Linked DNA regions of Nothobranchius furzeri. The protein of the gene in region 1 binds, or shares a complex with, the protein of each later gene. Links are inferred from orthologs where the notes say so. Each region holds a gene or a part of one and is shown on either strand. Other genes may lie near its edges.

Region 1 (11,243 bases):
GGTTAGAGCTGTTGCCTTGCAGCAAGAAGGTCCTGGGTTCGCTTCCCGGCCTGGGATCCTTCTGCATGGAGTTTGCATGGTCTCATTTTGCATGCGTGGGTTCTCTCTGGGTACTCCGGCTTCCTCCCACAGTACAAAAACATGACTATTAGGTTGATTGGTCTGTCTAAATTGTCCTTATGTGTGTGTGTGTGTGTGCATGATTGTTTGTCCTGTGTGTCTCTGTGTTGCCCTGCGATGGACTGGCTCTCTGTCCAGGGTGTACCTTGCCTAATTGCCCGTTGACTGCTGGAGATGGGCACCAGCCCCCCCGCGACCCTACATGGACAAAGCGGGTTCAGAAGATGGATGGATGGATGGATTGGAGCTGTTGGTAGACTCACATTCTTGTCCAACCGAACGTTAGAGGACCGATATAATTTAATATTTGTATTTTCTCTGATGGATTTATTATCACAGGTAGATCAGTGTAACAGAACATCTGATTTCTGTATAAAACAGTGAATATGTTGTGTGTAGCCATGGTAACGACCTGATGACCCCTCAACAGATGGCAAGGTGTTGCCCGGAGACTTGACCCACTATGTGGTGCCGGGGGTGGAGGTGGTGGTCAACTTCCTGGAGATCCTGGAATTCAGGGAGCTGCAGGGAGTCATCTTCACCCAGACGGCCTGCCAGGCTCTGCAGAGTAAAGGGCGCAGGTACAACACACACAAACACACACACACATAGAGGGTGAAGTGGGTTGTCTGAAGAACTCCAGTCTACCGTCTTTTTTTATTCCAAAGTGATGGAGAACATCTCATAAGTTTTCCTGACAAACCATTAGCAGCTGGTTCTGGTGTGTGTGTGTGTGTGTGTGTGAGAGAGAGAGAGAGAGAGAGAGAGAGAGAGAGAGAGAGAGAGAGAGAGAGAGAGAGAGAGAGAGAGAGAGAGAGAGAGAGAGAGAGAGAGAGAGAGAGAGAGAGAGAGAGAGAGAGAGAGAGAGAGAGAGAGAGAGAGAGAGAGAGAGAGAGAGAGAGAGAGAGAGAGAGAGAGAGAGAGAGAGAGAGAGAGAGAGAGAGAGAGAGAGAGAGAGAGAGAGAGAGAGAGAGAGAGAGAGAGAGAGAGAGAGAGAGAGAGAGAGAGAGAGAGAGAGAGAGAGAGAGAGAGAGAGAGATCGGCTGGCGGGATGATGTAGAGTGATATCTGCTGTAGGAAAATGCAATCAGCAAGGGCACAAAAACAAAACACGCTCAAAGATAGCGACAGAGCTCGAGACTAGGTCATATACCCAAACGAGTTAATCATCCGACGTCGTGTAGGTCTCAGACTGCCCCTCATATAGCCAGCCGGTGATTGCAGCTGAGTGGCTGCAGCTGGGCAGTTCTCCGGCACCGCCCACCTGCAGGAGAAGGGTTAGTGTGGGGAACAATATACCTCAGGCCATGACAGCTTGACCTTCTCTGGAACCGAAGCCTTTAGGAAAAGCAGCGGTTGCCGTCCGACCAGACCAGTCTTGGGATACTTCCGGGTCACGACAGTTTTATTGGCATCTAGCGAGACCAAAAAGGGGGTCGTGATGGTTCAGCTTTTATTCTGAAAGGAACCGTTGCAGCAGTTGGAACAGCAACAGATTTTATCCAGCTTGTCGTTAGGTTCTTTCGGCTGAAGAGGAAAGTTACGGATTGAGAGAGAGAGAGAGAGAGAGAGAGAGAGAGAGAGAGAGAGAGGGAAGGGAGAGGGAGAGGGAGAGGGAGAGAGAGAGAGAGAGAGAGAGAGAGAGAGAGAGAGAGAGAGAGAGAGAGAGAGAGAGAGAGAGAGACCGGGACCGGGTTGACCTCATTATGTCAGAGTTCTGCTGATGCAGGTGTGACTTTAACCTTCTGCTCCGGTTTCTGACTGACTTGAACAAACCTGTAAATAAGGATTCCCAGCTGACCTTGTCTCCGAGTCCAATTTGTTTTGGGTTTCCGCCGACTCGGCAGTGTCGCATCATTAGAGTGAGGCTTCGTTTCTGATGGTGTCAGGATTCTGTTAGGGCACTAACACGCAGAACCAGAACTGACATGGGTACGCTGGGTTCTGGTCCGATGCCAGGGGATTCAAATGCTTTGAATAAACTTTATTAGGGTTTATTTCTTTAGATGACGTGGGAGCTGTTGTAGTCTTTCCACCTGAGCGTCTTTTTCTGCCTCCTGCTGGTGAGCTCTGTGTTCTGATGCTCCTGTGTCGTTCAGGTGCTACAGCCGTCTGAGGAACCTGGTGAAAGACCCTCGACACGACTGTGTTCTGTTTGCTAACGAGTTCCAGGAGCACTCGTACCGCCCGAGAGAGAAGGGCGAGAGCCACGAGCAGTGGCAGACCAGGTGAGTGGTCCCAGGGTGTCAGGACACCAGAAGCTTTCATCAGATTTCCCACCTGAGGTGGGGTCAGAGGTTAGTATAGGTTTATTTATAAATTCAACAAGTTATTACATTTCAAATAAATGTTGGGAAATTAGAACTGAAATTAGAACTTTCCTACTTAATCGGGATTATTTGTAATAAAAAAAACAGAATAAGTTTAGTTTTCAGAAGGATTCAGAACGAGGCGACCAGGGGCCTCATTTCTAAAGCTGCTTACGCACAAAACGGGTCTGAAAAGTGCGTAAGTGACTTGCAACGCCAACTTTGTGATTTATAAAGAAACACCGGACAGAAAAACGTGGCAACTTTAAGCAAAACTTGCAGACTTGGAAGAGGGCGAGATGGTAAAATGTTTAAGGACACATTTTCACACCGTTGGCACAGTTTCATAAGTCGGAAAATCAGTTTGCGTAACTTTTTCATTTTTAGCTGAGCTTAAGTGGGGTTTTAGTAAGGATTCTATGCAGTTTTACAAACGAGGCCCTTGGTCTTCAGGAACCAGAATCAGCAGGGGTCCGTGTTTTTAACTGTTTAAACCAAAGTTTCAGAAGTGTTTTTAAATGTAAAGTTTGGATAAACGGTGTAAAAACCATCTGATGTATTATTTGTGGGTAGGTGTGTGTACGAAGCTGCAGTGTGGTACTACAACCACCTGGCAGGAATGATGAGCATCGTGATGGTTACAGAGGACGAAGATGTTGTGAGTCGGTTCAGCAACCTGAACTCTGGAGTTTTTGTCGTCACCTTCAAGGTAAACATGTCAGTCAGCAGCCAATCAGATCAGCCAGGGTTAGCCTAGCCCCAACCCAGGCTGATGGGCTAGGGCTAGGCTAACCCTGAAAGTCAAGGGCAGGGGGTGCTTGATCCTGGTCCTGGAGGCCCGGCATCCAGCATGTTTTAGTTTTAACCCTCCTCCAACACACCTGGTTTCAGTCAGCAGCTGATTAACAGACTTCTGCAGAGCTTGATGAGTTTCTGCACAGGTGATTCCACCACTGAATCAAGTGTGTTGGAGCAGAGAAACAACTAAAACATGCTGGATGCCGGCCTTCCGGCCCACTGCTCTGAGGCTAGGCTCACACTGTGCTGATGCAGTATTTTAGACAAAAGGAGGTCCAACTGGCAGGGTATCTGCAGGTCCTTAAAAAGTCTTAAATTTGCTTTTCTAAATTTAAGGCCTTAAAAATCCTTAAAAATGACTAATAATCCTTAAATACAGTTTCCAAAGGTCTTAAATTACCAAATACCCAATAAACAAGAATTTCTAGTTAGTCTTCAGCATTTTTTGTGTATGATGTTGGCGTAAGCGGAACCGTACACATTCAGTTGGTTGTGAAAGAGGGCTATTTTTAGATGAGCATATTAGCTGGTTAAGCTAGTGGGAGCTTGGTAATCCCACGTTTCCGACGTGGCTAGCACCGGTTCCAGGCAATAGCTGGAAATTATAGCTTAAATTTAATTTAAAAAATAGCTTAAATTTGGTCAAAGTGGCCTTAAAAAAGGTCTTAAAAAGTCTTAAATTTGGCTCCCTTAAGCCTGCAGATACCCTGAACTGGGTAGTGATGCACAAAAGCAGCCCCACACATCCAAACGTGTGCATTTCCTCCCAAGGAACCAAAAACGAGGAGAGGGTGCTCGCTGCAGAACTACAAAGGCGGAGCTGCACCAGAGTCAGCCCCGCCCACTCTCGCAAACTCAGCCTAGCCCACTGACTTCTTCTGTTTTTGTTTTTTAACTTTATCGCAAACTAACCTGACCCACATGAACTACGGCTGTTACTGGTTTACAAATGTTAATGCTACGTTCTATGCTCCAATTAAACAAGATAAATATAACTTGCTACATGACAAAGCCTGAATATATCCTGAAATGAAAGTTTCTTTTAGCAAATATCTGCCCACAGCCGCTCCAACAAAAGCGGCCTACAACAGCATTTCAGGCTATCGTGTGGGTTCTGGTAGTCCAGTGGCGAGATCGTAAAGTTTTGCCGTTGATGCTGGTTCGACTCTCGGTGGGGTCGGCAGCAATCTATTTATCCAGCTGAAACATTTAATTTGTTTATATTTTAGTTGTAATGTTTATTTTCTGCAAAATATTTATGTCTCTAAAAGTTCTTTGAATTTGGTCGTTCCTAAACAGCATTTTAGTTGAAACTCTGCTCACAAATGGACTCACACTGGCTAATTAAACATTAGTCATTATATTTTAGACGGTATACCAATAAATAGTTGTAAACATAGTAGTGGCAAGTGTAGCTAGAAAAGAAGAAAAAGGGTTTTAAACTACCTAATATTTCTGCTACTGGGAGGCGAACCTGCGCAAAACAGCACGTCTATCTTTGAACATCTTAGGTGTGTTCTTGCTGTGTCGTGGTAATTCCATGCTGTCGTTCTTTTTAAAACACAGAAACAGATTTGTTTACCTGTTTTGTTGCTACGTTTCGCCGCCGGCGAAACGTAGCGACAAAACAGGTAAACAAATCTGTTTCTGTGTTTTAAAAAGAACGACAGCATGGAGCATGTCTATCTGACTCCATAACCACTTCACCACTACATCTGATAAAAAGCAAGTGGCATCACACTAATTGTGCCATCCAGTGTGTCTTTGTAGATGGGATGTATGGTTTTTTCGGCGGTGTCTCAGTAGAAGTCATTTCAGAAATAATTTGTCGGAAAATTGAGAACCAAGACCAGACCCGCTTCGGGGGAGGAGACCAAACTGAAGCTGAGATGGGAGGAAAAATGTGTGAATGAGGCCAAAAATGGCTTTGGCGTGTTTCTTTTGAGGAAATGACAATATAACATGGTAAAAAGTTCCAAAAGTTAGATTTTTAATTATATGAAACCTTTACAAAAACTGTTCAATTAACCTCTCAACTCCGTCCTCAATCTTGCATTTTAGATGATGTTAGCTATAACACCCTCTTTGGTTCCAGAATGCTATCAAGTCTGACAACTGGAAGGAATTGGACTGACTCTGATGGAATGGGCGGGGCTGACTCTGGTGCAGCTCCGCCTTTGTGGTTCTGCAGCGAGCACCACTTGAAAACATGCATGATGGCTTCATTCACAGCTTTGGTTTCTAGAATAAAGTGTGACTTGGTCTCCTATTTAATCAAACATAAGCATTGTTCTTTTGGCAGGAATATAACTTACTGACATTTATGAGATGGATTAGAGCTGCATTTAAAACGCCAACATGTGTTGTGACCAGCTCAGACTAGCCGTTAGCCCATCAGTCTGGTCAGAATTAAAGAAATTGCTAAAGCAGAAAGTTAGAAGGTTAGGATCAGCTCTTCTGGTCTAGATGTTCCCCTGAGACCTGACTTCATCCCTTCCAGGATTATCTGCAGAACTTCTGGCCCGATCTGCAGGCGGCCCACGAGCTCTACGGCTCCATTTCTCAGGCGCTGCAGGAGAAGGAGAGCGAGGACACTCAGAAGGAGTTTTGTGAACATCTACCTACTGAAGTTCTGGCGGCTGGCATCAAATCTGGGCGTTACATTCAGGTAGAACCTCACCTGATCGGGTCGACGTCTAAACTCAGGGTCACACGGGTTGGCTAACTGGTTAATATTCTGTTGAACCAGGGGATTCTGAACGTCAGCAAACATCGAGCTCAGAACGAAGCGTTTGTTGCGAATGATGATATTTCCAACAAGAACTCAGGTACAGAACCTTCCTGAACCTCTCTGCAGAACGACTCAGAACTTGTTCAGAATCCCCCCGGTTCTTCTTCCCAGATCTGATTGGGGGGGTTCTGGTGTACGGCGTGAGGAACCGCAACAGAGCCGTGCACGGGGATTCTGTGGTTCTGGAGCTTCTGCCGAGGAGCGAGTGGAGGGGAAAGGTCACGGCTCTGACGGAGGGACCGGTGGACGAGAGGACAGGAGGGGACAGTGAGAGTAAACCAATGCCCACAGGTGAGGCCGGACCTGAGAGTCCAGCAGGCCCTGGGTGCTTCTGATTGACTGACCAGGTGTGGTTCTGGGTTCAGGTCGGGTTGTGGGGGTCCTGCAGAGGAACTGGAGGGACTACGTGGTGACCTTCCCCCCAAGGGAGGGGACTCAGAGCAGGAACTCCCAGCGCATCCTGGTGATTCCTTGGGACCGACGCATCCCTAAGATCCGGATCAGCACCCAGCAGGCCGATGTTCTGCAGGTCTGGGTCCAGTTTCTCTGTTGGGTGTTTTGGTTCTGATAGGTCCACTTTCTGTAGGAACAAGTTTCATTTTTTATTTCACAGGAAAAAGTTTTATTTTCATTATCGACTCTTTATGCTGACAGGATTGTTAGTGCTGAAGAGGGATTACTGTGTCCCGGTTCTGGAGAATTGGGTCTAGCTTGTCCATGAAGCTCCATTCTGTTTTGTCCTGCAGGACCACAGAGTGGTGGTGCGCATCGATTCATGGGAAAGCACCTCCCTCTATCCCAGCGGTCACAGCGTTCGGGTTCTGGGTCGGGCCGGAGAGCTGGAGACCGAGGTCCAGACCATCCTGATAGAGAACTGCATCCATGTTCCTCCCTTCTCAGAAGCTCAGGTCAGAACCGGTTCTACTGTGATCTGCTGACTCCCACCAGGGGCGGGGTCCAGCGTCCCCGTCAGAGGTGGTTCAGGAGTCAGGAACCGGGTGCGAGGCAGCGATAACTCGGGTCATCGTTAGCTGGTGATCCGAGCAACAGCTGCTTTTTGGTTTCCATGGAAACGTTTTGTATTTACCCAGCATCCATAATGTTTGACAGCTGACTGAGCCGGTAGAAGTTCTGATCAGAAATCGCCATCACAGCCTTCCTGTGACCTTCTCTCCATCAGCTGAGGGAAATGCCATCGACCTCGGCAACAAAGCCATGGACGGTGGATCCGGTTCAGGTGTCAAAGAGGCGGGACCTCCGGGAGACTCACCTGGTGTTCAGCATCGACCCGCGTGGCTGCGAGGACGTGGACGACACTCTGTCGGTGCGCCGTCTCCCTGGCGGGTCGCTGCTGGAGCTGGGGGTCCACATCGCTGACGTCACTCACTTTGTTTCTGAGGGATCGCTCACCGACCTGGAGGCTCGCTCCAGGTGAGCAGAACCAAAACTTTAGACTCGGTTTTCACTCCAGACCTGGGTTTGGACCCCTGATCTGAAGGCTCTGTGGAATTTCAGGGCCACTACCTACTACCTGGCAGACCGCCGCTACGACATGCTGCCGGCTGTTCTCAGCGCTGACCTCTGCTCCCTGCTGGGAGGTGTCGACAGGTGAGTGGATCCATCATCTCCTCACAGAAGCTCCGCCGGTCCAACGGGTTCGCTCTCGTGTTCAGGTACGCCATGAGTGTCCTGTGGGAGCTCGACGTTCAGACGATGGCCGTCGCCAAGGTGTGGTTCGGTCGCACGCTGATCCGATCCTCGTACCAGCTGCACTACGAGCTGGCCCAGGCGCTGCTGAACGGGGAGGAGGCAGAGGTACCGGAACTGGCCCAGCTCGCCTCGGAGGAGCGGGACGGGAAGCTGGCCGAGCTGGTGGAAGCGCTGGAGACACTGACGCATGTGGCGAGACACCTCCGTGCGCAGAGAGACTGTGGAGGTGCGCTGGAGCTGGAGGGGGTGGAGGTACGTGGTTCTACTGGGTCGGTTCTGAACTCGGGGTTCTATATTGAAACCTGGACCCGGTCCTCCTCAGGTCCGAGCCCAGCTGGATGAGAAGCGGAACATCACGGCGCTGGTCCCCCGTCAGCCGCTGGAGGTCCATGAGACGGTGGCAGAATGCATGATCTACGCCAACCACTGGGTGGCGCGCAAGATACAGGAAGTGTTTCCGTACCAGGCTCTGCTGCGGCGCCACCCGCCGCCACGCCAGGAGCTGTTTGGTCAGCTGGTGGACACGGCCCAGGCCCGGGGCTTCAGCATCGACACCAGGTGACACACAGAACCAACAGGTCCATCAGAACCGACCAAAACCAGCTGATTTATAAACTCATTGGGTCAAAAGATCTCGAGGGTTCTTGGTTTCCTGGTGAGTCTCGGGAACATCTGGAACCCATTTGGGTTCAGATCAGAACCACCAGATGACTTTGGCACCAGATTCAGCAGGTCTTGTTGCTCAGACCCGATCAGAACAATCCGTGGTTCTGTAGTGACCCGTGTGACATCACACGTTGGCATGGGATGTTCCTGCTTCTTTTAGAACAGAACTTGTCCTGGATCTGGTTTAGGAAGGGACCATGTTCTAGCCTCTTCCGTTCTGGGCCGCTTTGTTGAAACCAGAACCTTTGTGACTAAATGAGAAAATCCCGTCTGCATTGGATCACCATGACAACGGCACCAGGTGATCTGGTTAGGAACGTGTCACCTGTTGCCGTTTATCCCTACCTGACCTGGTTCTGTGACCGGACCGGATTCTGGTTCAGGATCTAAACGTGCCCCTCTGATCCCTGCAGCACCAACAAGGCTTTAGCTGACTCTCTGAACCGGGCCGTGGACCCCCGGGACCCGCTGGTAAACAGGCTGCTCAGGATGATGGCGACCCAGGCGATGTCCCAGGCCGTGTACTTCTCCACCGGTTCTGAACCCGAGGACCAGTTCTTCCACTACGGTGAGCCCGGCGTTCCCGCTGAACAAAGCCGTTGGTCTCAGTGACCCGACTGTTCTACTCTGATGTTCTGCAGGTCTGGCTCTGGACCGGTACACCCACTTCACTTCCCCGATCCGACGGTACGCCGACATGGTGGTTCACCGCCTGCTGACCGCCGCCCTGGCCACGGAGCAGGGGGCGGAGCCTGTCGAAGCGCCCGCTGGAAATAAAGAAATGGAAGAGCTAGCGGAGCACATCAACAACAAGAACCGGGTGAGAAGAGCGGGTCGGTTCTGAAGCTCCGTGGTGTTTCAGTCTGATGAGGTTCTGAGCCGTTTCCATTCTGCAGGCGGCCCAGCGGGCCCAGAACCTCTCCATCGGGCTGTTTCAGTGCCTTTTCTTCAAAGAGCGAGACCCTGAGACGGACCCGCGGTGCGTGGCTGGCGCCGTCATCTACTCCATCCGAGACAACGGCGTGCTGGTGTTTGTCCCAGAGTAAGGAACCGACCCGGTTTGTCAGCAGCATTGAGGTTCTTTAAACAGAAGTTTGGACATTACCCGAGATGGGCTCCAGTTTACAGAACCGGGCCTGGACTCCGGACTCTAAATGAGTTTGGTTGGACCCGGTTGGCTATTGGAGGATTTTTTGTTAACAGGACGGCGTGAACTTCATGGGATCGGGTCGTTCGCGGTTCTGCAGGTTTGTCGGATCCGATTCTGATGAAAACAGAAACTTCTTCCTTGTGATTCTGGGTCGGCACCAACTGAATTCTGGGATATTTGTTTAGATATTAGAAGTCTGGGAGCGTAAATAAGTGGTTCTGGTTCTGACCCGGGTCGCTGCTGTTTACAGGTACGGTGTGAAAGGTCCAGTCTACTTGAAGAACAAGGAGGGTCAGGTGGTGTCAGTGGGACCTGACGGAACCTGTGAGTGGCAGAGTGGTTCTGTCCAGCGACACTCGGACCACATCAGAACCACCTCTGCCTGTGGCAGCGCCACCTTCAGGCTGTTTGACCACATCACCGTGAGTAAACGTCTCAGAACCGGGCCTGCTGAGAAACCCACTGAGCTCCCGTTTGTCCCCTCAGGTCCGCGTCTCCGTCCTGTCCTCCAGCTGTCACTCGGACACTCTGAACATGGAGGTCATCAGCAACAAGCCGCACCGCAGCAGCTCGACGCCGCAGCAGGTCTCCTCACAGGGCCGGAACCAGCTGGTCCAGGAGGTGGTCCGACTTGCTGAGGAGGCACAGAAGGAGACCCGGAAACCCAAACTGTCCCGAGAGGAGAGGGAGTTCCGGCAGAGTAAAACTCCTAATCTGTACTCCCTTCTGGAGGAGATCCGAGAACTGTCCCTGTTGGACCCGGAGACGGAGCCACGCCCCCCCGAGGGGACACAGGTGGACACCTGAACGTCCTGCAGAACGTTTGGTTCTGTCAAGTTTTATTTTTAAAATCTGAGAACGAGGCTTTAAAAATAAAAACCGAAGTTTCAGGAAAACTCAAACTTTATTCTGACTTTTATAATAAAATGTGATTCGTATAAACGTCTCTGACCTTTGACCTGCAGCCACAGTCTTTGTGTCCCAAAACCTGGACTCTTTCTTCACCTTCAGGTCACAAATGTCAAAACATCCAGAACCAAGCACAACCAAGTGGACCAGAACTGCAGGTTGTTCAGGTTTTAGAACCACGCTGGCATTAAACTTCTTCCTCCGGCCCCTCTGGGACCGGTTCCTCCTTACCAAGAGTGGACTCAGTAGGAGGTTCTGGGTCAGCGTGTGGAGGAGCAGGAGGTTCTGAGTCGGCATGTGAAGGAGCAGGAGGTTCTAGGTCCATGTGTGAAGGAGCAGGAGGTTCTGGGTCAGCGTCTAGAGGAGCAGGAGGTTCTGGGTCAGCGTCTAGAGGAGCAGGAGGTTCTGAGTCGGCATGTGGAGGAGCAGGAGGTTCTACAGGAGGTTCTAGGTCCACGTGTGAAGGAGCAGGAGGTTCTGGGTCGGCGTGCTGAGAAACGGGAGGTTCTGGGTCAGCGTCTAGAGGAGCAGGAGGTTCTGGGTCCTTGTGCGGAAGAGCAGGAGGTTCTAGGTCCACGTGTGAAGGAGCAGGAGGTTCTGGGTCCTTGTGTGGAAGAGCAGGAGGTTCTGGGTCTGTGTGTAGAAGAGCAGGAGGTTCTGGGTCGGCGTGTGGAGAAACGGGAGGTTCTGGGTCAGCGTCTAGAGGAGCAGGAGGTTCTGGGTCTGTGTGTAGAAGAGCAGGAGGTTGTGTGCTGCAGGACCGATCCAGGTCCAGATCTTGCATCTTCTC
Region 2 (11,788 bases), on another chromosome or scaffold:
TCCAACGCCTCAGCCCCACGCTGTGCAGCCTTCTCCCCCAGGCACAAAATGTGGTAGATATGAATATTAAACATTGTTACGACAGCGCCGGAGCAGTGGCTGTATTTATGTGCAGCAACAGCAGCAGAGCCTTCGTAAAGCAGAGGGCGTCGCACAAGTTTAAACTATTAAACCGACGTCTTTATGACGCTGCAGCCGGCGCCGCGGCCACTTCCACACGGGCTGAATTTCTAAACAAATTTCTACTTCACCAGAAAGGACACGACTTTCATATCAAGTAAAAACAAACAGGAAATGAATGGGAGAGTAAATAACTCACTGCTGCTTGCTGCCGCACAGTTGGGACCTTCTGGAGGGACTCCTGGTAGCTCCGTTTAGCTTTAGCTCGCTGCTCTGTGGAAACAACAACAAATGATGTGACTCTGCTTTAAAAATTTAAAGGATAATTGAACCAAATTACCTGATGCTTTCTTTGCTTGTTGTTTTGCTTCCTCTCTGATTTTCTTCTTGGCCTCCAGCTCTTTCTGCTGCTGCTCAACACTCTGAAGTTTCCATCTCTTGCTAATCTGTTAAAATAAGAAAGAACATCCATGAACATCCAAACAGGAAAAAAAACCTAAGCACTAATCAACAGAGGGCTTCGATCACCTCAAATATTTTTGAGGATGGGTCAAACTTGGCGTTCTTGTTGACGTGGACATCAGCTGAAGGCAAATACTGGGATAGCAAGAGGAAGATACACGATTATTCAGTTAGTTAAATAAAAATGTGAATTAGGTTAAATGTTCCACCTCTAACCATTCTGAAAGGGTTTTCAAAAGACTCAATGATGCGTCTCGCTTTCATCTGAGCGACAGACATGGATCTTTGGTCATTAGGAGCTTCTGGTTCCTTCAGGAAGAAAAAAAAAACGCATTGTTATAAAAAACAAATAAACAAAAGCTGAATAAAATGCAGTAAAATAGGTAGAGCTACCTGGAACAGCGTTATTTTAGGTGGTGCCGACAGACGGATTGTTTCCTCATCAACATCCTCTGAGAACAGGACCCCCTTTTTAACAGATGATTCTGAAAAAAAAAAAACAAATAAATAAATAAATCTTTCCTGAAACACTTTTTCCAGGGTATCTGCAGGTTTAAGGGAGCCAAATTTAAGACTTTTTAAGACATTTTTAAGGCCACTTTGACCAAATTTAAGCTGTTTTTGAAATTAAATTTAAGCTATGATTTCCAGCTATTGCCTGGAACGTCGCGAACGTGGGATTAGCCATCCAGTTACCATTAAACTTGCACTTTCCCATGGCGCAGGCTCCCACTAGCTTAACCAGCTAATGTGCTCATCTAAAAATAGTCCCCTTTCACTGAATGTGTACGGTTCCGCTTATGCCAACATCGTACACAAAAAATGCTGAACACTAACTAGAAATTCACGAATTTTTTTTAGAAATAAAAGAATCTTGTTTATTGGGTCTTTGGTAATTTAAGACCTTTGTAAACTGTATTTAAGGATTATTTGTCATTTTTAAGGACTTTTAAGGCCTTAAATTTGGAAAAGCAAATTTAAGACTTTTTACGACTTTTTAAGGACCCGCGGATACCCTGTTTTTCACTGAAACTTAGAAAAAGCACAGTAACTGTCAAGCTCACCGTCAGCTGTAACTTGTGGCACTTCACCCTCAGAAACCTTGGACACATCATGTGGACCAAACAAAGAGACCTCTGGCTGCAACATAAAAAACAAAACATGAATTTTCCCCAAATGGTGGCTGTCTGTAGCTGCTGGTGTCGCCCATTCAGCCTTCAGCTAACCTTCCTAACGGGCGTGAGTCCTTTCTTCTTCTGAGCTGCAATCTCAGCCTGTGTGAAAAGTGACAAACGCATCAAACCATGACAGATTCAGGCACAGTGACAGCGCAGAGCATCGGTGGTTCCTCACCTTCAGCAGGGGCATTTCTCTGGCTTGTTGCACCAATGAATGCAGCTCGTTGACCTGCTGCCTCACCAGCGGTGGCACGGGGATACAGCAGGCGATGATGCCCTGAGGCTCTCTGAGGAGGCCCGACAAATAAAAACACAAAAGTTATTTATAATAAATTACCTTCTGCAGTGATTTTAACGTAAAATCTACTGGACTTACTTGGGTAATTCCTCTGATATTTTGATCATCATGTGGGTGGGCAAAACGTATCTGAACACAAATAAAATCACATTTAAACACCTTGGAGCAGAAGGAGCATTAATATTTGGTTCTTTGCCGACTGTGCACACACACTCCTAATATAAATAAGCCGCTATGATAGAACATCACTTCACAAAGCCTTACCCGGTGCTTTCATCTTCCTGCCTGGCCAGCTTGTCCCTCCAGGCAAACAGGAGTCTGAAGGCAGTGAGCTGCTGAGTGTTAAAGGACTTTTTCTGCTTCCTCTGCAGCTCTAAATAAGACTCCTCGGTGTAGATGGGCTTCAAATATTTCTGTTTAAAAAGGAGAGAGTCGGGTCACACAGGGGAAGGAGACACGTGACATGAGGTAAAAGAGAAAACTGTGGGCAGGTGATAAAAACGAGAACAACTTTGTGCAACAACCAGGACTAGAAAGAGACACCAGGGCGAGTTTTACATGCTACGTTTAGACAGACTGGTGTCGTATCTGTATCATCACAATCCCTGCTGCTGAATTTATGGGACATCCTTCCTGACACTCAAAACATTTATAACACACCAATCTGTGAAATCATGTTTAATATCATTTTAATGTAAACAGCCTGTAGCTGTAAAATACCAAACCCATTTAGAATTTAAAATCCCAGAATGCACTGGAACAAGCTTCCTTCTGCTGCTGCAGTCATAAACTAACAAAAAAAAAAAACAACTATGCTTGCCTTAGCATCTAAGTTATATTAATAAATAAAGCGATGCATATTTTCTTTATGAAGATTTTGACATAAAACATCTAGAAAATCGGGGGAATTCCTTTGCAAAAAAAGCAAAATTTGACCCTCGGCTTGGACAAAGTTCTTAGATTTAAAACACAACAAAATGTCACTCCACCCCTAGAGATAATGTCAATTAGAAAAATAATAAAAGCACACCAGAACAAACAGAAATGATGCAAAACAACATGGACTTTAGACAGAAGTCTCCAGACCGCTTGTGCATGTGAGAGTAAGAGACGTTTGAGCAAACCTTTAATGAAATGTCTCGGCTCTTGTTCCACACACACTGCAACAGTCCCGGCTGCCCGTGGTTGCTGTCTAAAAGCTGCGCTCTCACACAGTCGTAGATGTAAAGGAGGTAGTGGGTGTCTGACCGAGCGTACTGAATCATCTCCTCTGGCAAGGGGCTGCAAGGACAATTAATACAAATTTCTTTTTGAGTTTCAGCTTTCAAAAGATATTATTATAAACATTTTCTTGTTGATTAATGATTAAAAATGTGTCCAGTTAACAACACACCGGATCCTCCAGTCGGCCAGCTGGTAACGTTTGTCCGAGTCCACGTCGCAGAAGTGTTTCAGCAGGTGGTCGAGGGAGTGTCGGGCCAGGTTGAGAGCTCGACTCGCCTGATGTGTGTCAAACAGGTTGACGACGTACAAACCAAAGTCCCTCTGGAGCCACTCGATGTCTGAATCAGCGCCGTGGAACACCTGCAGAACAGAAAACCAACCCACACACGCTTTTATTAAAGCATCTCTGAACTAAAAAAGACAAATTAACTGGACACATATGCAACACTTTAATTTGAATAATTTAACAAATCTTTCAGCTGTTCCAAGCCCACACATCATATTTGTTCAGAGGTGTCCTGCAGAGTGTGAGTCACGCTGGTTCCCACGCACAAGACACCTGCCAACCTTATCAAACATGTTAATGAGACGGAAATCTGGCTTTTATCTTAACTGCTGAGGGAGAACTGCTCCCTAGGATGATGGAGACACGCTCTCCCTTCACAAGTCAGACTCAGCTCATCTCTTCAACATTAAATTAACTCATTTATAGAACAGTTTCATTACTTTGACGATACTCGGGTCGGTAAACGCCTCGTTCAGAATGTACAATTCACTGCGGAGCTCCAAAGTATCAATGATGAAGTCCTCCTCTCTGGTGGAGACCTGCATCAGACAGGTGAGGCCGAGGAAACTCCTGTAGGAATGATGCTGTCACAGAAAAAAAAGAAAATGTTTAACAGAAAAACAGCCTCCAAAGAGTTTAATGACTTCCTAAAGCTACTTTTATTTTAATTAGAACAGAAAGACACGAGACTTTAGTACCTCAAGATCCACAGCAAATTCAGACGACTTGCACAGCTTCTCATTGAGAGTCACTAGATCCTCCAGCGAGTCGACGAAGGTTAGGTTTGTCTCAGCCAACGGTTTGTACATCTAGAAGGAACAGAAACAGATGAGACACACACCGGCACAAGATGATTTTGTTGGGTTACTACAGGTTAATATTACTTGAGGCTCTGGCTTGGACAGCAAGCTTTCTGGTACTATGAGATGGTCCAGTTCATACTGGTACGGGTGTGCAAACCTACATAAAATAAAAAATAAACTCTACTTAGAGAAATGAAAACATGAAACACGGTGTTGACACAACCAGGGACAAGTCTCACATGTCTTCAACATGTTCCTGCGTCCTCTGCTGGTGGATAAAGTCAGCCAGGGCAGCTGGGACGTCAAGGTCCTCCGGCCTCTCTTTACGAATTTGTTTGTTGGTAAAATCTACAGTTTGAGAAAAGAAAATAAATAACTCAGATACGCTGACGAGTTGAAATGGCAAATCAAAACATGTGCCAAAGGTGCTTCTTACAGGAGGGAAGAGCCTTTAATGAATTGGGCTTGATGAAGATCTTTGGAACAAAAGGTGTGTTGCTGTTGTCGACCTTTTCTTTGAATTTCAGCTGAGGCCTTGCAATGTTCTTGGCATGGAGCAGTCGGAATGTCTCAGAACGACTGCCAGAGCTGGAACCCTGTAAAAAAAAAAACACACGCACACACACTCTGCTTATTATGATATAAGAATTTATAGATAAGCAAGAAGGTAGTTCAAAACAGAAAAACTGTGATAACAGGAAGAACTGTTTATTTCACCTACCTTACGATTCCAACTAGAAACAACAATTTTCGGAGGCTGAAACCCAACAGGCATGACAGGCTTCTGGCTCCGATTAACCCCATCAGCTTCATCAAGAAGAATGCCCTAAAAACCAGACAGCAGAACCTGGTTGGTCTGCAAAGGTCTTTGCATTCATTAAGTAATTTAGAGCCAAAGGTGCAGGTCATACCGCTCTTTCAAGGATAACATCATTCGAGTCCACAACCAAGTCAAACCTCTCCTCTATTCCTGTGAGTTTGTCCCGGTCTTTTATGTGAGATCTGCAGCCATGGTTCTGCATTATCTGGCTCATGCTAAAAGACAGTTAAACAGATTAAAACCTTGTTTTACTCCCTCAGAACTCAGAATACTCAGTTCAGGTTTAAACTTGAGCTTGCTTCTGAAAAACTGGTCAGTGACAAAAAGAATAAAATAATTGTTAATTATGTGTTGGTTACATGCTGATTGATCATTGACATGTGCCAATAGAAACTACACTTACCAGTGCAAAAGCTTATCTCCTTGACTTTCACAGAACTCCTGGAATCCCGGGAAGCTCCGATAGAAATCATACTCATCTCCAGACTGAGGTAAGCCAGCTGAAGCTTTGGTGGCCGATAACACTGCACCCAAACCATACTGTAAAGAGACCAGGTTCAGTTGTTACTATTACTAAAGGATAATAACAATGCAATAATATTTAAAATCTCATTGGTTTGATTTAAATGTGATGTTGATTTGCCTAAAAGCTTGGCTGTTGGAAAATGCAGCTTTTCATTCTTTCTGATGGGGCCAAATGTAACTTTGACCAAACAGAAAAAATATATGAAGAACTAATCTAAACAGAAAAAAATCTAAACATTTGTCTTAATTTAATGGTGATTTTTGTGTGCCCCAACTCTAGCAACTTTTAAATCAAAATTAAATATTTCATGCGCTCCTTATTTATTTAAATGCCTCGTTGTATGAAATGCATTACACAAATAAAGCTGCCATGCCTTCATAGTTTATTTTACTAAATTATATTTGACAATAAAAAGGTTATTTAAGCTTAAATACTGCAGACCCCGAATCTAGTGGAATAAAAGCTTGTAGCAACATATTTTGCTCTAATCATCAGCTTATATCTACTGCTGATTTGGATCCCTAAATGAAAAAGCTGTCAAAAGCTAGTTGGCAAAAAGCTTCGTTACACACAACCACACCGTTGCACCTTTAATTTATGAATAGTGTTAAGTCATTGTCTCTGCTTTGCTTGACTTCAACTCCCAATGATGATCCTGCTAACTGGCCAACCAGCTCACCCACGTTGGACTGTTAGCATAAGCTAAAAACTGGCTAGCTAGCTAGTTTTGTTTACTTACTTTAACGAAGGTGTCCGCGTCTTTGAAACCAGGACATAACTCATCTTTCACTTCTTCAGTAGTGTCCAAATTACCTCCCTGACAGCTGCTGTCCGTGGCATCATTACTCTTTGAAGAATTCATCATCTAAATTTGAGTTGTGTACATGAGTGCCTGACGGAAACAGCGCCACCTTTACCTTCAGTGTTAATGGTAGAGCAGTAGGGTCACAGCGCCCCCTTTCGGCATGGAGTGGACAGTGTCAACATTACACAGGAGTGAATACTCATAAAATATTTTAAAATTGATTTAGTTGCTCTCTGATTTGAAACTACACTCAAAAATGTAAACATAATAAACGAAACACATAAATAATGTACAATAGTGTACAAAATACTGTTGAAAAGCTTGAAGTTATTAAATATAGCAACATTTTTACAAGTGTTTGTACATATAAATTAATTTTCTACATGATAAAGAAAAGACAAAAACTGAATCTGAATCAACAAATAGATAAAATAATTGTTGGTTTAAATGATATAAATCTGGAATATTTGCTGTGTATTGTTGTAATGCTGGCTACTCTCACTACAAATCTGAAAGGATGTTGGTCACAAATCCCGCAGGACTGTGCTCTGGTCAGCAGAGCATCCATCCAATGCAGTGAGACTGCAGACGCTGCAAGATTTCTTCTCTTATCGCCCCATTTGATCCAGTTTAGACAGAAAGATGCACCAGGACTCTGGTACCATGAGGGGGCAGTGTTTACATTTGTAAAGTGTGCAAACCACTCCTCAGCATCTGCAGCACATGAAAAAGGAAAATGCACCAGTCATGTCTCCACCAATATTTGTTTAAGAGACGTCTATATTATATTTGAATCGAAAGCTTATTATTTTTGCAGAGTTTGACCAAGGATGAAGGTATCCTAACTGTAAATGTATTCATTCCCCTCAGTGTTTGTTGCCAAAACAAATTAGAAAAACCGGGTGTTGCTGTGATCCAGTGGTCAATACATGAGAAGAGCCAAAGTATTGACACGCCAGCTCATTATAAATGATCTGTGGTGTGTGGGGAGAAACCTCTCTTTTCTTCACTTCCCATTCAAATCGATTTCTTCACGAGGCCCTCTCCTTCTTATTATCTTAAAAGCATCTCCGCAACACTGACTGGATCAATATTTCACAGCATCTTTCCATGTCATTCTGTTGTTTCAGCGGAGAGTAACCAAACTTCGGCACACACGTGCACTAATAATTCAAAGAAATGAATCAGCATCTGTTGGAAAGTCGCTGCACAAAACCAGCAACTTGATGTGTTCGTTTCTAAAGATATTGAGTGTTATATTACTTTGAAACCATTGAGTTATCACTGATAACAGTCTTTATAATGACGTATTAATCCAGATTTAATAAACTTTGTCATATTATTAATCTATGTTATTGTTGCATTTCACCCCAATTTATGTGCTTTAAAAATATGATGCATTTTCTAGCTTTGATAGCGCTCCAAGGCTCTACTCCAGTGGGGTGTCCAGATCTTTTAAAATGGGGTGGCCCAGGTGAGGCACAATTTTGCGCATGGGTAGCACCAATGGTTATGCTTTTTTTGTTTTACCCCCAAGCCTTTTGTGGACAATGAAAAGCCTATTTAAAGGTAAATTAGTGTGGTGGCACCTGGGGTGGCCAATCAGATTCCAAGGGTGGCATGTGCTACCCCAGGCCACTCCCTGGACACGCCCCTGCTCTACTCAAGTCTCTCCCCGTGCAGTACAGACACTAAAACTGCTGATGCTGAAGGTGACAGCAAAATAAATAAATAAATAAATCCAGGAGAAAATTCTCAGTGAACTGTTTTTATTAACTCCTTCATTTAAAAAACACCAAAATGCACCAAACAATGTCATACATGCACATCTTCAGCATTTCAAGATCAGCTGATGACTTTTCAATGTGAAAACATTAATGACACGATCTCATAGAGATCACCTGGACACTGAAATACTGAGGAGTCACAATAGAAAGGTCAAGCGTTGTCACCCAAAACACAAACTAGTACATTTTTCTTTCAATTTAATTTAATTACAAATTTAGCACGAAATGCTGCCATCTCTGAAAATGGTAAAGCTGTATAAAAAGACAAAGGTAGAGAGAGCTATTGTGCATCGGTTATTTCACCAAACCGGTGTGTGTGTGTGTGTGTGTGTGTGTGTGTGTGTGTGTGTGTGTGTGTGTGTGTGTGTGGTAGCAGCTGTTAGCAAAAGAGTCTGTAGTCATTTATTTTTCAAAGTTTGACTATTACAATTGGAAATAGGGGTTTAGCGTAATACATACAGTATGTATTATATACTGTATGAAGGCAAGAGAGATTTCAAGACTGGCTTTAGCAGTAGCAAAAAGTGGCTTTAATCACTACTTTTAAACAACACTTGACCTTTGTGCAGAATATTTTTCAGTAAAAAAACAAAAAAAAAAAAAAAACAAATAACAGGTAAGATCCATATCAAACATTAAAAAATGTTAAATCAAATGATCTCCACAGTACTGGTACATTACAAAACAGAGAGGCTGACAATGTTTCAATGCAACCAAAGATACAAATGCAACCTTTTTTCAGTTCGTTTGATTCTAAACAACAGCTGCAAAAGATGGAGTTTTCTGTTTAAGAAAGACAAAACATACGTAAACTGTCCACATATAAAAGAAAAAAAGTAACACTTTATAATAATGATCCCTTTATTAACGTTACTTAGTGCATTATTAAGCATTAATAAACAAAGGATCCCTTTATTAAAATTTCAGATACTGTTAACTATTAAATGTCTTTAAGGTTAGTACAAAGGGCCGGGTGGGGAGGTGTCTACTTACTAAAGCATTACTTAATATTAACATTAAGTAGTTGCTAATACTTTATTTAGTAGTTTATTAAAGTTTAAAGTGACAATGTGTATTTTTATGATTCATCTCTGGAAACATCCATCGAAATCCTGTTGAAAATGAACAAAATGATGCCCAGTCGTTGAAAACTATTGGTGGCTTTGTAAAATTTAACCATAAAAATCAGGTCTGATGTACATGGGGCGCGGGTCTAGCATCTTTGGGGGACAACACATTAGACGTCATGTTTCCTTCTGGCCAGCTCAGGATCCTGCGCCTGTTGATGACATCACACTAGATGATTGGCTGGACCCTGCAAACAGTTAACGTCGCATGGACGTGCAGATCATGTCTATACTGAGTCTGTCGGTCCAGACCCCGTCTGTAGGACGTCCAAACTAGGTCTTTGCACAGTGGGGATGTATGATTTACTGTCATTTCTTCACCACGTTCGAAAACGAATCATGTAATTTATTAACAAAACTGCTAAACTCTTTCCAAAATTTATGTGAAAGAACAGAATCAAAAGAGAGTTGCAATAGATCTTGGCCGAGTGATATTGCCGTAGTAAGATGATGTCATCGGCAGGCGCAGGACTCCGAGCAGATCTGGAAACTACAACCCCAGAAAACTAGCATCAGCATTGCATCCGTTCGAGGGAATTAACTGAAGGACCACCAAAGTGAGAGGAGTCATGCCGAGGTTGCATGCTTTCTGCTCCACAGGTAACAACATTTACCGTAATGTTTTTATAAACTAGCAACAGTCACAGCGATATGTAAAACTACCCTGAAATGTATGTACTGCCCCCTAATGGCAGGGAACTACACACTGCTACTTTAATAATTCACCAAGTAACGTTAATAAAGGGACCCATCAAAAAAATAAATGGCAGGTTTCAGGTTAAAACGCTCATCAGATGTAGAGAAAACTTTTGCTTTTCATCTTTACACTTTAGACAAGTTATTTTCCAGCAAGACGAACCTGATGCAGCCTTGAATTCAGCAGATTTTCCCCTCAGTTTTCCCTTCTGCTCTGGCAGCCTAAGATTATTTAACAGAAAAATAGACACTCTGAGTCCTGACTAGGTCAAAGTCATTTTTCCTACCTCCGACGCTGACCTTGCATTATTCTACTTGAATGTCCGCAATGCTTCAGTTATTCAGGGCAGACAACGATGGTTAAGAGCAAAGAAAACGAGTTTAAACCATTTTTCTTTCAGTAGCAGAACGGTCCTCTTGAAATCACTTGCCCATGACACTAGGCTAAAAGTAATAACCATACACAGCCCTGCTCACACACACACACACACACACACACACACACACACACACACACACACACACACACACACACACACACACACACTGAAGCCATCTTGACAAAAATGTTCTGATTTAGTCTTCCCTAAATCCTGATATATTAGTCTTGTGCGGGTGTCATTAGTACCATTACTCGCGTGCCCTTCCCCTCCGAACCCCCCTCAGGCCTGCTCTAATTTATTAAGATGTTTGAATGTCTGCTATATCGTGGTCCACATCAGGCTTTCCATTCATCACGTCAGACCATTAAATAGCCCATTGTGTTCTGTGCTAATACCTCTCTGATCTATTAACTCCTGTCACGTTGGAGCCGCTGAACGATGGAGTGAAGCACGTCTGAATACCTGAGCAACGGCGTTTCACTCAAACACATAAACAAAGGCAACACACACCACACACGTTAAAAAAAGGGCCGAAAAACACAAACGACAACAAAGGACATATTCACAAAGTATTAAAACACAGCTAGAGTTAGCCAAACGATGTCAAAGCTGGTGGCTAGATTTCGGTTAACAGACTGGCACAATTGGCAGCACTTGAAAAATGCCCGTCCTGACTACAATGGCTGATGAGGCATATCGACTGGCACTGACTGAGCCTCGCCCAGATGGATGAGGAAAAGGATTGAAACTAATACTTCCCCCCCACTATTGATAATCAAGTCCTATAAATCACACAGGCTGTAAAATCTCATAGTTTTTCCAAGAACTCAAGGTGATATTTTTCTGATTGCTTTGTGTTTTTGGTCCGATCAATATAACAGCAGCCTTCAATGATTCAACATTTTATCACATGGAGGCAGAACATTCGGGACTCTAACATGTCATCAGGTGTCCCTTCGTTTCAGATTTTTTTTTTCGAAGGACTAAAGCAAAGGTTTTAGCTTTTACCTCTAAACCTGTAGCTGGGAATGACGCCGCCACAAAGTAGAGGTGTATAATCGACATTTATGCACAAGTAATTTAAACATCAGCAAGGAATAAACTGTAATAATTCTTCCGATATGACAATAACAGAACATTTCTTTCACAAAAGGCATTTGCAAGGTCGTGCTTAGCTGCAAATGCAAGGATGTGTTACAAAACAAATGAGATGGAGGTCCAAACCCAGCTTACTTTCTCACCTCCTCATGCCTGGCGTGTGGTGCGAAGTGAG

Evidence for each region.
Region 2: dis3l (region 1) and exosc10 share a complex: the UniProt entries of both Homo sapiens proteins name them as parts of the RNA exosome complex. The link is inferred for Nothobranchius furzeri from reciprocal best matches to the Homo sapiens genes DIS3L and EXOSC10.

Annotation. Positions count from the first base shown.
Region 1 is NC_091749.1:66,608,956-66,620,198, reverse strand, and holds the end of dis3l (DIS3-like exonuclease 1), read left to right. Parts: intron 1-550; coding exon 551-701; intron 702-2,219; coding exon 2,220-2,348; intron 2,349-3,002; coding exon 3,003-3,138; intron 3,139-5,727; coding exon 5,728-5,895; intron 5,896-5,976; coding exon 5,977-6,055; intron 6,056-6,129; coding exon 6,130-6,309; intron 6,310-6,383; coding exon 6,384-6,547; intron 6,548-6,764; coding exon 6,765-6,926; intron 6,927-7,198; coding exon 7,199-7,449; intron 7,450-7,533; coding exon 7,534-7,626; intron 7,627-7,691; coding exon 7,692-7,980; intron 7,981-8,050; coding exon 8,051-8,286; intron 8,287-8,807; coding exon 8,808-8,962; intron 8,963-9,035; coding exon 9,036-9,214; intron 9,215-9,290; coding exon 9,291-9,436; intron 9,437-9,794; coding exon 9,795-9,966; intron 9,967-10,030; coding exon 10,031-10,351; 3' UTR 10,352-10,446; downstream 10,447-11,243. Other genes in the region: tipin (TIMELESS-interacting protein), read right to left, coding at 10,641-11,243. UniProt on the Homo sapiens protein: Catalytic component of the RNA exosome complex which has 3'->5' exoribonuclease activity and participates in a multitude of cellular RNA processing and degradation events.
Region 2 is NC_091755.1:29,805,398-29,817,185, forward strand, and holds the start of exosc10 (exosome complex component 10), read right to left. Parts: upstream 6,663-11,788; 5' UTR 6,583-6,662; coding exon 6,457-6,582; intron 5,732-6,456; coding exon 5,595-5,731; intron 5,407-5,594; coding exon 5,283-5,406; intron 5,198-5,282; coding exon 5,093-5,197; intron 4,968-5,092; coding exon 4,808-4,967; intron 4,720-4,807; coding exon 4,611-4,719; intron 4,529-4,610; coding exon 4,453-4,528; intron 4,378-4,452; coding exon 4,267-4,377; intron 4,153-4,266; coding exon 4,009-4,152; intron 3,643-4,008; coding exon 3,452-3,642; intron 3,340-3,451; coding exon 3,183-3,339; intron 2,472-3,182; coding exon 2,323-2,471; intron 2,188-2,322; coding exon 2,137-2,187; intron 2,048-2,136; coding exon 1,936-2,047; intron 1,857-1,935; coding exon 1,809-1,856; intron 1,723-1,808; coding exon 1,647-1,722; intron 1,068-1,646; coding exon 976-1,067; intron 892-975; coding exon 799-891; intron 718-798; coding exon 649-717; intron 567-648; and 4 more. UniProt on the Homo sapiens protein: Catalytic component of the RNA exosome complex which has 3'->5' exoribonuclease activity and participates in a multitude of cellular RNA processing and degradation events.